Callithrix jacchus: one gene and its partners. The protein of the gene in region 2 purifies or fractionates together with the protein of the main gene of each other region. This does not show direct contact. Links are inferred from orthologs where the notes say so. Each region holds a gene or a part of one and is shown on either strand. Other genes may lie near its edges.

The links.
Region 1: the proteins of PRKAG3 (region 2) and PFDN6 purify together in Homo sapiens (affinity purification with mass spectrometry; 3 studies listed by BioGRID and IntAct, with this or other methods). This does not show direct contact. The link is inferred for Callithrix jacchus from reciprocal best matches to the Homo sapiens genes PRKAG3 and PFDN6.
Region 3: the proteins of PRKAG3 (region 2) and PRKAA1 purify together in Homo sapiens (affinity purification with mass spectrometry; 3 studies listed by BioGRID and IntAct, counting the BioPlex papers as one, with this or other methods). This does not show direct contact. The link is inferred for Callithrix jacchus from reciprocal best matches to the Homo sapiens genes PRKAG3 and PRKAA1.

What each region holds. Positions count from the first base shown.
Region 1 is NC_133505.1:41,531,764-41,534,407, reverse strand, and holds PFDN6 (prefoldin subunit 6), read right to left. Parts: upstream 1,858-2,644; 5' UTR 1,822-1,857; exon of another isoform or gene 1,814-1,821; intron 1,674-1,813; 5' UTR 1,587-1,673; coding exon 1,523-1,586; intron 1,276-1,522; coding exon 1,205-1,275; intron 1,124-1,204; coding exon 999-1,123; intron 787-998; coding exon 657-786; 3' UTR 574-656; downstream 1-573. Other genes in the region: WDR46 (WD repeat-containing protein 46), read left to right, coding at 2,275-2,343, 2,441-2,644. UniProt on the Homo sapiens protein: Binds specifically to cytosolic chaperonin (c-CPN) and transfers target proteins to it. Binds to nascent polypeptide chain and promotes folding in an environment in which there are many competing pathways for nonnative proteins.
Region 2 is NC_133507.1:140,561,273-140,564,939, reverse strand, and holds the start of PRKAG3 (5'-AMP-activated protein kinase subunit gamma-3), read left to right. Parts: upstream 1-827; 5' UTR 828-860; coding exon of another isoform or gene 861-893; 5' UTR 894-974; coding exon 975-1,293; intron 1,294-1,728; coding exon 1,729-1,884; intron 1,885-2,219; coding exon 2,220-2,623; intron 2,624-3,667. UniProt on the Homo sapiens protein: AMP/ATP-binding subunit of AMP-activated protein kinase (AMPK), an energy sensor protein kinase that plays a key role in regulating cellular energy metabolism.
Region 3 is NC_133503.1:164,777,345-164,781,094, forward strand, and holds the start of PRKAA1 (5'-AMP-activated protein kinase catalytic subunit alpha-1), read left to right. Parts: upstream 1-1,201; 5' UTR 1,202-1,206; coding exon 1,207-1,546; intron 1,547-3,750. UniProt on the Homo sapiens protein: Catalytic subunit of AMP-activated protein kinase (AMPK), an energy sensor protein kinase that plays a key role in regulating cellular energy metabolism.

The DNA of each region.
Region 1 (2,644 bases), on a different chromosome or scaffold from region 2:
ATTGAGCAGGAAGGGGCACAGTGTTTTCTATCCCCATGAACGGAGCAAAAAGTGAGTTACTTGGTGAACAGTTTCCTCAAACAATGCTGCAAATGTGTATAAAACAATTTTTGGACAAAGAAATGGCTGAACAACCTTATGGACAACATATAAACTTAGGAGGACTTATAACACCATAAAGCATTACATGCTAGGCTTTTAAGTCAGTTTAAGCTATATTCAAGCAAATTCTAGGAAGACAGGCTGAAAAGTACTAATAGAGATGTCAGGACTGCTGGCAAGGAGGGTAATCACATTTCACCTTGGGGCCTCATGTTAGAGAACTGTATTCTTCAATTAAACTGACATTCCTCACATTCACAAATGTAAATGCCCTTCTAAAAGAATCATGCCAACCAAGATGAGGGAGAGTTAAAAGAAGGTTTGAGGACATTTGGGATTTCACTTTCAAGAAAGAAAACACTGTGCCACAGAGAGATTTCAAGTGCAAGAGTTTGGACCTGAGGGAGTAATATAGGTGGTGTGTGTTAAGGTGGAAGGGGCTGTGGAGATATGCCTGATCAGGAAACAGAGGCAGGTGTTTTTGCATTTTATTAGCTACAGTATAGATCCCAGAGCTGCCTCATTCCCGCCCCTCCCCTTCCCCCACCATGGGGTCAGGCCTTGCCAGGAGCCCCTGCCTTTGCTGCCTGGGCCCGCTGGAACTCCTGCTGCAGCTGAGCAAGGGTCTCTCTCTGTTGCTCTGACTGCCGCTCAAGATCCCGGAGCTGGGATTCGTATCGCTTACTGAGGAAAGACAAGCAGAAAAGGAGAAATTAGTGGGACTTACTATGGAGGGTGCTAAACTCAAGAAAGAGACTTCTCTTTCTTGAGATCTAGGGAAGGGTGCAGAAGGGGTGTTGGAAGGGGTCTGGAGGAACTGGACTAGGGGCGACTATGGAGAGCTGTTCTGCAATGGTTCCTCAACTCCTCTACTCCAATGGTTCAGTTAGACTCACATTTCAGCTGTGATATAGTCCAGCCTCTTCCCCACTGTGGCCCGAGCCTCTCCCAGCTCCTGTTTGACCAGCACCGGACCCAGAAGTTTAAAGACCACGTTGGACCCATCCAACAGGGCCAGTTCCTGATGGAGGGATGGGACATATGTAATCAGAACCATGGCCAGTACAGGCCCCTCCTCGCCGCACAAATCCCAGTCCCTCACCTCTTTCACGATGTTATTTTCTGTTAGTTGTGCTTCAAGTTTCTGCCTCCCCGACATGGATTTACTCAAGTCTGGGGATGAGAGGAAAGGCAAGATTAGAAACATCAAATGTGCCACCAATCCCCACAATCCTAGTCAGGAGGAAATGGATCTGAGGAAGTAAACAAGGATGGGGGCAGCGGGTCAGTGAATAGGGACGAGTACTGACGCGGGAAAGTCTCCGCACGCGACGGCCCAGATGGGGCAACAGACCTTATCCTAGTATGGTTTTGGGTTGTGAGTGCATCGGGCGAGGCCACACTGACCCTGCTCCCTTACCCTTCTGTAGCTGTTGATATTTCTCCACTTCTCCTTGCAGCTTCTTTTGAATCAGCTCCGCCATGGCGGGGATGAAAGCTTAAGGGGAGCGAGAGAAGGGCGCTGGATCTTACTCTCTGGAAGGTACCTGAGTTCCCCTTTCTGATCTGGCCTGCGGAAATGATGGCACTCTTAAGAGGCAGCCCTGAGGGGGACCGCAAACTCCCCACGTCCCGGATATCGACTCCACCCTGTTCCCAGGAGATGATGGGCGAAACGCGAAACCCCGAACCCCTCAACCGAAATCCTAACCTACTCACGTTCTCCCTTTAGTAGTAATAAACCCGGAAGTAAACAAAGAATGCTGGGAAAAGACTGTGTCGGGAAGTTTCTTTCTGATCCTTGATGGGAAGTGTAGTTCTGACATGTTTAGTGAGTGGCGTTCTGCTAAAAAGACTAGACTCGGACATTTTTAGGCAAGACGGGGAAACTAATCCAGAAAAAGAAATCGCACCGCTACTTAGTCCCTGGTCCTGGACCTGCCCTTTTTTTTTTAAAGTCTCTCTTGTATAAGCTGTCGCTCGCGATAAGGTGCCAAGAGCTGTTCCGCCTCTCTAAAGAGAGCGTGCCCTCACTCAAGATGGCGTTAAGAGAGCTTCAGATTTGGTACGCTGCTGATTGGATGACGGACAGAGGGCTTCCGGAAGTTTTCAAGGCGACTGTAGGGCAGCTGAGAGGAGTTTTGCACGTGGATCGCCGTACGGGTGGGCGAGATGGAGACGGCCCCCAAGCCGGGCAGGGATGTCCCGCCCAAGAAGGACAAACTGCAGACCAAGAAAAAGGTAGAGGCCTCTCTGGGTGGGAAAATAAGTTTTTAGTTGCGGAGTCGGGGGGCGTGGCGTAGGTGCGGAGTTATTAGGGCTACTGATCTGCCCGTAGAAACCTCGGCGATACTGGGAGGAAGAGACTGTTCCGACCGCAGCCGGAGCCTCTCCAGGGCCTCCTCCTAACAAGAAGAATCGGGAGCTCCGTCCCCAGGGAGCAAAAAGTACTCACATCTTAAAGAAGTCTCGGATCTCTAAGAAGCCTCAGGTCCAGAAGAAACCCCGAGAATGGAAGAATTCGGAGTCCCAGCGGAGCTTG
Region 2 (3,667 bases):
CAGAGCAGCTGGGTCAGCATTTCCGATCCGGACATTGACTCAGGCTCCGGGAATGCCAAGGAAGGGGGTGGGCAGCCACCAGAGCCAGGCTGGGATCCCATTGGCACCAGGGATGTCAGCACAGCACTGACAGAGGGATGGGGGCTGGGACAGCTGCACACCCAGGCATCTCTCCCAACCACAGGTGGAAACAGGTGTCTCTTCCCCTGTGGGGAGCTCTGACTGCTCCCCAAACCTTCGAGGTGATTCTCACAGCTCTTCACCTGCCTGAAACACCCACTCCACCTCCTCTACCTGAGAGAGGGACAGGCCCCAGGGACTCAAATCTGGATATCTGGACATACATTGACTGCTCTCCTGGAACTACCCACAAACCCCTTGCCTCCTCGCCAGCCTCTAAGCTGGCTGCAACTTGCCCTTTCTAACTCCAGCACCACCCTCTGCTGAAAGTGAGTAAGGAAGAAAGTTACACTGACCTCCCTCCATGTTCCCTGCTTTGGTGCCTGATAAAGGTGAGAGAGGCCTTTGGAATAGGGGCCCAGGATCTGAGAGCCCAACTGTGCCCAGTGCACACGTTCCCACATCCCCGGATAATGGGTCCCTCTTACTTGTCCCCAGTGACCCAGGAGGCAGCTAAGGACCAGGTACGCAGATGATCGGGTGCACTCTTTACCTCCCAGCAGGCCCCAGCTTCAGAGCTGGAGCAGCTGAGCGAGTGGGGGCTCCTCCCTCCCGCTGCCTGACACCCAATCAGAGAGAAACCGACCCTGGCAGGGCAGGGTGCCCAACACCGGGCCCAGAATAGTGCGGCTCAGCCACAGTGTTGCACACTTGCTCTCCGTTGGTCCGGGGCTGGCCACATGGAGCCCGAGCTGGAGCACGCTCTGCGCAGGGTATGAGGGCCCAGGGGAGCCGGAGCCGGGGCAGCTGAGGCCAGAAGATTGAGAGCACACGCTGTGAATGTGTGTGCGCACATGGGTGTCTGTTGGTGTGGGTTTGGTCAGGATTTTCTCGTGAATATGGGCATGTGGGTGTCTGGGCATATGTATTGTGAGTGTGTGCGGCTCTGTGGGCCTGGGAGTGGTTGGCTGTGTGTGTTTCTGTGTGTGTTTGTGTGTGTGTGTGCATGGCCGTGTGAGCGTGTGTCCTGGTGTGTATGGGTGTGTAGGCGTGCGTGCAGGAGAAGGGGAGGACCTGTGGTTTGGGGATATAAGGCTCTTTCCCCACGCCGTCAGAAAGTCTTCTCCACACAGACCCCTTCCTGGAGCAGCCTTGGGGATTCTGAGCATCAAGGTAGGGAGATTGCCCCCTCCCTTGGGCCTGACCTCTTCCCTCACTTCCTTGTCCCCCCACTTTTCTGGGACCCCATTCCCTCCCAGCCTGGCTTTTATCTTCCTCCTTTTGTTCTTTCTTCCTTATTGCTCTTCCTCCTTTCCCCAGGTGTGCTTCCCTCACCTCCTCTTTCCTCTTTTCAGAAGGGACTTTCCCACTTACTAGCTGTGTGATTTGCAGCAAACTGCTTAACCTCTCTGAACGTCTGGTCCCTCACTAGCACAATAGGGATGATAATAATGCCTACCTTTTAGGGCTGCTGTGAGTTTCAAATGAGAAATATGTTGGAGAAAAGCCCATTGGAAAGTGGCACATTCTGAAGGTTATTATTAACAATGTTCGAATGGACTTTGCTCTGACTCCCTATTAACCAAACAGGCCCCGTTTCCCTTCCAGAGATGAACTTCCTAGAGCAAGAAGACAGCACCTCATGGCCATCACCAGCCGTGACCAGTAGCTCAGAAAGAATCCGTGGGAAACGGAGGGCCAAGGCCTCAAGATGGACAAGGCAGGAGGCGGTGGAGGAAGGGGAGCCACCGGGTCTGGGGGAAGGTGAGACCAAGGCCAGTTCTGGGGAGATGACAGCCAGGGCAGTGGGAAGTCCCGGGTCCCTCCATAACACAGAGTTGGACCCAACCCTCATCTGTGGCCTCAGTCTCCCTACCTGGGAGAGAACAACTGCTCTGTAATGGTGGGGGGCCAGTATGGCCAACTCAGAGAGTTGGGACAGAGTCCCTATCCGGAGTGACTCTCAGATCAGCCTCTCACCTGCAGAAGGGCCACAGCATCCAGGCTTCCCAAAGCTGCTGTGAGATGAACTGCGACAGCAGATGAGAAAGTGTTGTGGAAGATGGAGTTACTATCCTCTTCCCTCCTCCCCCAAACAGGTCCCCGGTCCAGGCCAGCTGCTGAGTCCACTGGGCTGGAGGCCACATTCCCCAAGGCCATACCCTTGGCTCAGGCTGATCCTGCTGGGGTGGGCACTCCACCAACAGGGTGGGACAGCCTCCCCCATGACTGCACAGCCTCAGCTGCAGGCTCTAGCCCAGATGATGCGGAGCTGGCCTCGGAGTTCCCAGCCACAGAGGCCTGGGAGCGTAAGCCAGAAGACCTTGTAGAAGAGAGGCCTGCCCCAAGCCGGTCCCCGGAGGCCCTGTTTCCCAAGCTGGGCTGGGATGACGAGCTGCAGAAACCCGGTGCCCAGGTCTACATGCGCTTCATGCAGGAGCACACCTGCTACGACGCCATGGCAACCAGCTCCAAGCTGGTCATCATCGACACCATGCTGGAGGTGAGGCCATGGCTCTGCCCAACCTGCACCCGCTCTCCACCCACACGATGCTGCAGCCACCACCCCCACCCCGCAGGATGCCCTGCCAAGCCAGGTGCCCCCGCAAGTCCCCTGAAAGGACTCCTTCTTGGCACTATGGAGGCCAGCTGGGGGAGGGAAAGCTACTCTCTGTGAGCACCCCTAATTGTCATTGCAGCTCTGCCACTTAGTATCTGTAGGACTTGGAGTCACTTTACCGCTCTCCTCTCTAAAATGAGAATCAAAATGCCTGTGCACCCCACATAGTTCAGAGGATTCTTGGACTACCCAGTATAAAGCATGAGCGGAGTATGTGCAGGACATTGCAGAGGCCGGGCACAGTGGTTCACGCCTGTAATCTCAGCAGTTTGGGAGGCCAAGATGGGCAAATTATGAGGTCAGGAGTTTGAGACCAGCCTGGCCAACATGGTAAAACCCTGTCTCTCAAAAAAAAAAATTAGCTGGGCATGGTGGTGGGTGCCTGTAATCCCAGCTACTTGGGAGACCAAGGCAGGAGAATCGCTTGAACCTGGGAGGCAGAGGTTGCAGTGAGCTGAGATCTTGCCACTGCACTCCAGCCTGGGTGACAGAGCGAGACTCTGTCTCAAAAAAAAAAAAAAAACAGAATGGGGCTCAAAATGAGTCACTATAAAATTTATCTACAAAAAGCATGTAAATATACAAATGTTACATAAACAGCTATGCCTCCGGCACTTAGGCTATCAGAAACTAGACTGTGCACACACATGCCCTCCAAATGGAAACATGAAGTCAGAATTTCTCATTCCCCAGTGTGCTGGGTGAGCAGCTCTGTGTCTCAGGCCACAGCCTTGTCTGTGTACCGCGTGTCCCCAGCAACGATCATGTCTAGCATGTGCTGTGACATGAGAAAGACAGGCAAGCTGGTATAGAAGAGGGTCCAGAAGAAGGCCTCATGGAAGAACCCTAGGTGGGACCGGGAGGGGACAGCAGGCAGATGGGAGGTGCCCACTGAGGGGCAGAGAGAGGAGGGTGAGGGTCTCTCGG
Region 3 (3,750 bases), on a different chromosome or scaffold from region 2:
AGACACCAAAAGTTACAACAGTAACCACCACACCATCTGCCCCCAAATACATCAGTAATCAAAGATTTCTTAACTTTTTTCCCTTCAAACAATGTGCAGTCCCCAGTATAGTAGGAACTTGATTAAGGCTAGCTGGGACTGTTCCCTGTTTATCTGGTGCAATACTAAGCTCAAAGGCAGAAACTTTTGCTTCCCCTGCAATACCTTCCTTGGAACAAAATATTGCCTAATGCATGTTTTATTTCAGAAACAGAGAGGAGAAAATCAGAGTTGGGTAATTTTTGTTGGGATTAAAAATGACATTTTTAGTTTTTTATACTGTTTCATGAAGGTCCTTTTTTTTTTTTTTTTTTTGCCATTGACACTGGCCCAATGCTATGACATTGCAAAATTGAGAGAATATAACAAAACACTTGACTTTGCCTACTAATTAGAAGAGTGAAACTGAGTAACAAACTCAAACATTTTATTTAAAATAAGGAGACTTTATGCTGTGGTAACTAAGTATTACTCATTGCAAGTACAATAAATATTTGTTGATCTGATTGATGTTACCGTAAGCCTCCTTCTCAGTCCAGTGAATGTAAAAATTTTACTGATAATCTAAAAGTATTAATTCCTATACACCACAAGTTCTGCATATCACCCCCCTCTTGGAATACACATTCACTTGCACATCTCCCCAACCAGCTCTTCGCAAGAGAGCTTGCTTTGGGGAGGAAATTTCAGGATAATCTGCAGAAGAAAACGACGACAGCGCTCCTGGAGCCGTCCTGGGGCTCAGTAGCAACTTACCGGCTCAAAGCGAAAAGAGACCGCCGGTTGGGGGTGGGTGGGAGGGGGCGAGGGGCGGGAAACTCCATCACAGACGCAAGTGAAAACTGCGGCTTCTAGATTCCATCCGAGAAAGAAAGATGAGAATCAAGGTTAGAAAGGAGTGGCAGGGCGGTGTCCCCTGCCTTGCTTTAATTCTCGCGGTCCTCGTAACCGCGGATCTGCATCACCCGAGCGGGAGTGATGACTCCAGTCCTCATCTCCCTTCTGGAGTCACCCAGAGAGGGGGTCTTCTCCGATCCCCAAGTGGTAATTAGGGGAGATCACAGCGGGCAGAAACTCCGCCAGAAGAGAAGAGCCGGGGGCCACTGTCCGCCTCAACGTTCCAGGAAGCCCCTCCGCGTGCCAGTGGGCGGGCACCCAGGCCAGAGGATGCGGGGCGAGGAGGCGGGTACCGGTGCCACTCCCGGCGGTCCTCGCCCGCCCCGCCAGGGGGAGCGTCTGCGCCCGACGGCGGCAGCGGGTCCTGGGCGGGCGGCGCAGGGCGGTGGCTCTGCTTGGCGGCTGCCCTCCCGCGTCCCCACCCCCTCCCCGCCCGCCCCCGGCGCGGCCCTGCCCGCCCCCTCCGCCCCCTCCCGCGGCGCCATGCGCAGACTCAGTTCCTGGAAAAAGATGGCGACAGCCGAGAAGCAGAAACACGACGGGCGGGTGAAGATCGGCCACTACATTCTGGGGGACACGCTGGGAGTCGGCACCTTCGGCAAAGTGAAGGGTGAGAATCACTGGGGTTAGGCTGGGCCCCAGGTGGGGAGCCGCAAGACTTCCGCTTTCCGCACCTCTTCATCCTCCCCCGCCCCCTACGTCCCTCCTCTCCGGGGCTGGGTAGCCCCTGTCCGGGCTCCTCTGGGAGCTCTTCCCGGCTGCCACGGGGCTGCGGCGCGGCCAGCCCTGGCCCAGTGGGGGTGGGGGGTGGACCAGTCGCCATGGCGACGGCGCCGCGGCCGGAGGGGCCAGTAGTAGCGAGGGGCGGGGTTGCGGAGGTGCAAACTTTCCCAGGTCGGGCTGGCGGGCGGCGAAGAGCGCTCTGGTGTTGGGAGGAGGGGGCGCCGGGCGCAATCCTCGGGGAGGAGGCCAACCGCGCGTCTGGGTTGTGCTCCCGTGGCTCTGGGCCAGCCCATCGCTCCTTGGCGGTCCTCGGCGTTGTCCGTGTTCCGTCGTCTGTAGGAGGTTGTCGATTACCGGCCCCCGCTGTTTCCCGAGTGTGAAATGTGTTTCCGCAAAAATAAGGTTGCTTTTTGGGTAGCCTACATCATTTTCTTTTTAAAGGCCATCTCGTCGGAAAGGATCACTGGTTTTCTTCTGAGCAGTTAATGAATATAAACTGGTTCAGTATTTGCGATGCATGGTTTACATTCCGAATGAGACTCTGCCTTTAGTGTTTCTGAATTATCAGGAGTTTCTCTGTGCGAAACTTGGTTGTTAGTGCAGATGTTGCCTCCAGATCGTATTCATTACGTTATTAATACAGTTCTTTTCCACTTATTTTCAGTTAATACAGTTTTCCACTTATTTTCAAAGGTTATTTGTATTATGATAAACGATTTATGTGCATATCATTTGAACGTGTGTTTAAAGAAAGATGTACTGGGTGCATTGTACACCATTCGGGTGATGGGTACACTAAAATCCCAGACTTCATTACTTTGCAGTTCATTTGTGTAACCAAAAGCCGCTTGGACCCCTAAAGCTATTGAAATTAAGAGAAAGAAAAGCATGGACTGTTTCAAAGCAATATTCTGGAAGTAAATTTGCTCTACAGCCCACCAATTCTGGCCAAAAACGTTTAATTGCAAGCTTTGCGAGGTATGACTCTTTTTTTCTTTAAAATATTTGACTTAGTTATAAGGGATGTAGAGAAAGGAAGTTTGGAACTAATAAAAATGCTTCATGCATTGCCTTTGGATAAATAGTAGACTGACTTGCATATAGTAAGTTCTTGGTAAATATTTGACTTCAAAGAAAAAAAGTTCGTAAGTCTGTATGGTAACTTAACTGAGACTTGCTCTCCCAGAGCTAAATAAACATTTTCTGATTTTGTCTGGGGTTGTAAGAGACTCTCTTGCCATTTTCTGAGTCATAGAATTGGAAAATTGCTGTATATCCCACAGGGAAGCAACTGCCTGAATCTTCTTGTGAAAATCGGCAAGGCCGACAATGTCCAGAGGAAGTAAGAAGCAAAATGCCAGAATCCGATAATAACAGCTGTTAGGACAGGTCCATATAAGGCCAGTAAGATGTTTTTGTGCCCTGGAAGTTTTAAGTTTATTTTTGGCTATGATATTTCTTGTTAGCAATTACCAACTGCTTTTTAGTTTACAAGTATTTGTAAAAAAATGTTCATTTTTGCCCCCACCCCTTCCCAGTGTTCAGATTGGATTAGGGTGTTCATTATTCCCCCTAATATAGACTTGAATGAAGCCAGGTCTGGTTTTATTTTTCCCCCAAGACGGAGTCTTGCTCTGTCACTCAGGCTGGAGTGCCTTGTCATAATCTCACTCACTGCAACCTCCACCTCCCGGGTTCAAGGAATTCTCCTGCCTCAGACTCCGGAGTAGCTGGGATTACAGGCGCACACCACCATGCCCAGCTAATTTTTGTATTTTTAGTAGAGATGGGGTTTTACCATGTTAGCCAGGCTGGTCTTGAACTCCTGACCTCGTGATCTACCCACCGTGGCCTCCCAAAGTGCTGGTATTACAGGTGTGAGCCACTGTGCCCAGCCTGATCTGTTTTATTTGCTAAGTGGTTTTTGGCACGGCAGGTAGTAAAGCAAGAGATTTTTCATCCTCTGCATTTGATCTGTGATATGGTTGTTACATGAATGTCTCCAGTGACTTTGCTGTTTCTTAACCTTCACTTCTCCACCCACATGTACTTCTATTGGAGTACCATGTTCTGTTAGAGTCAACAAACTCT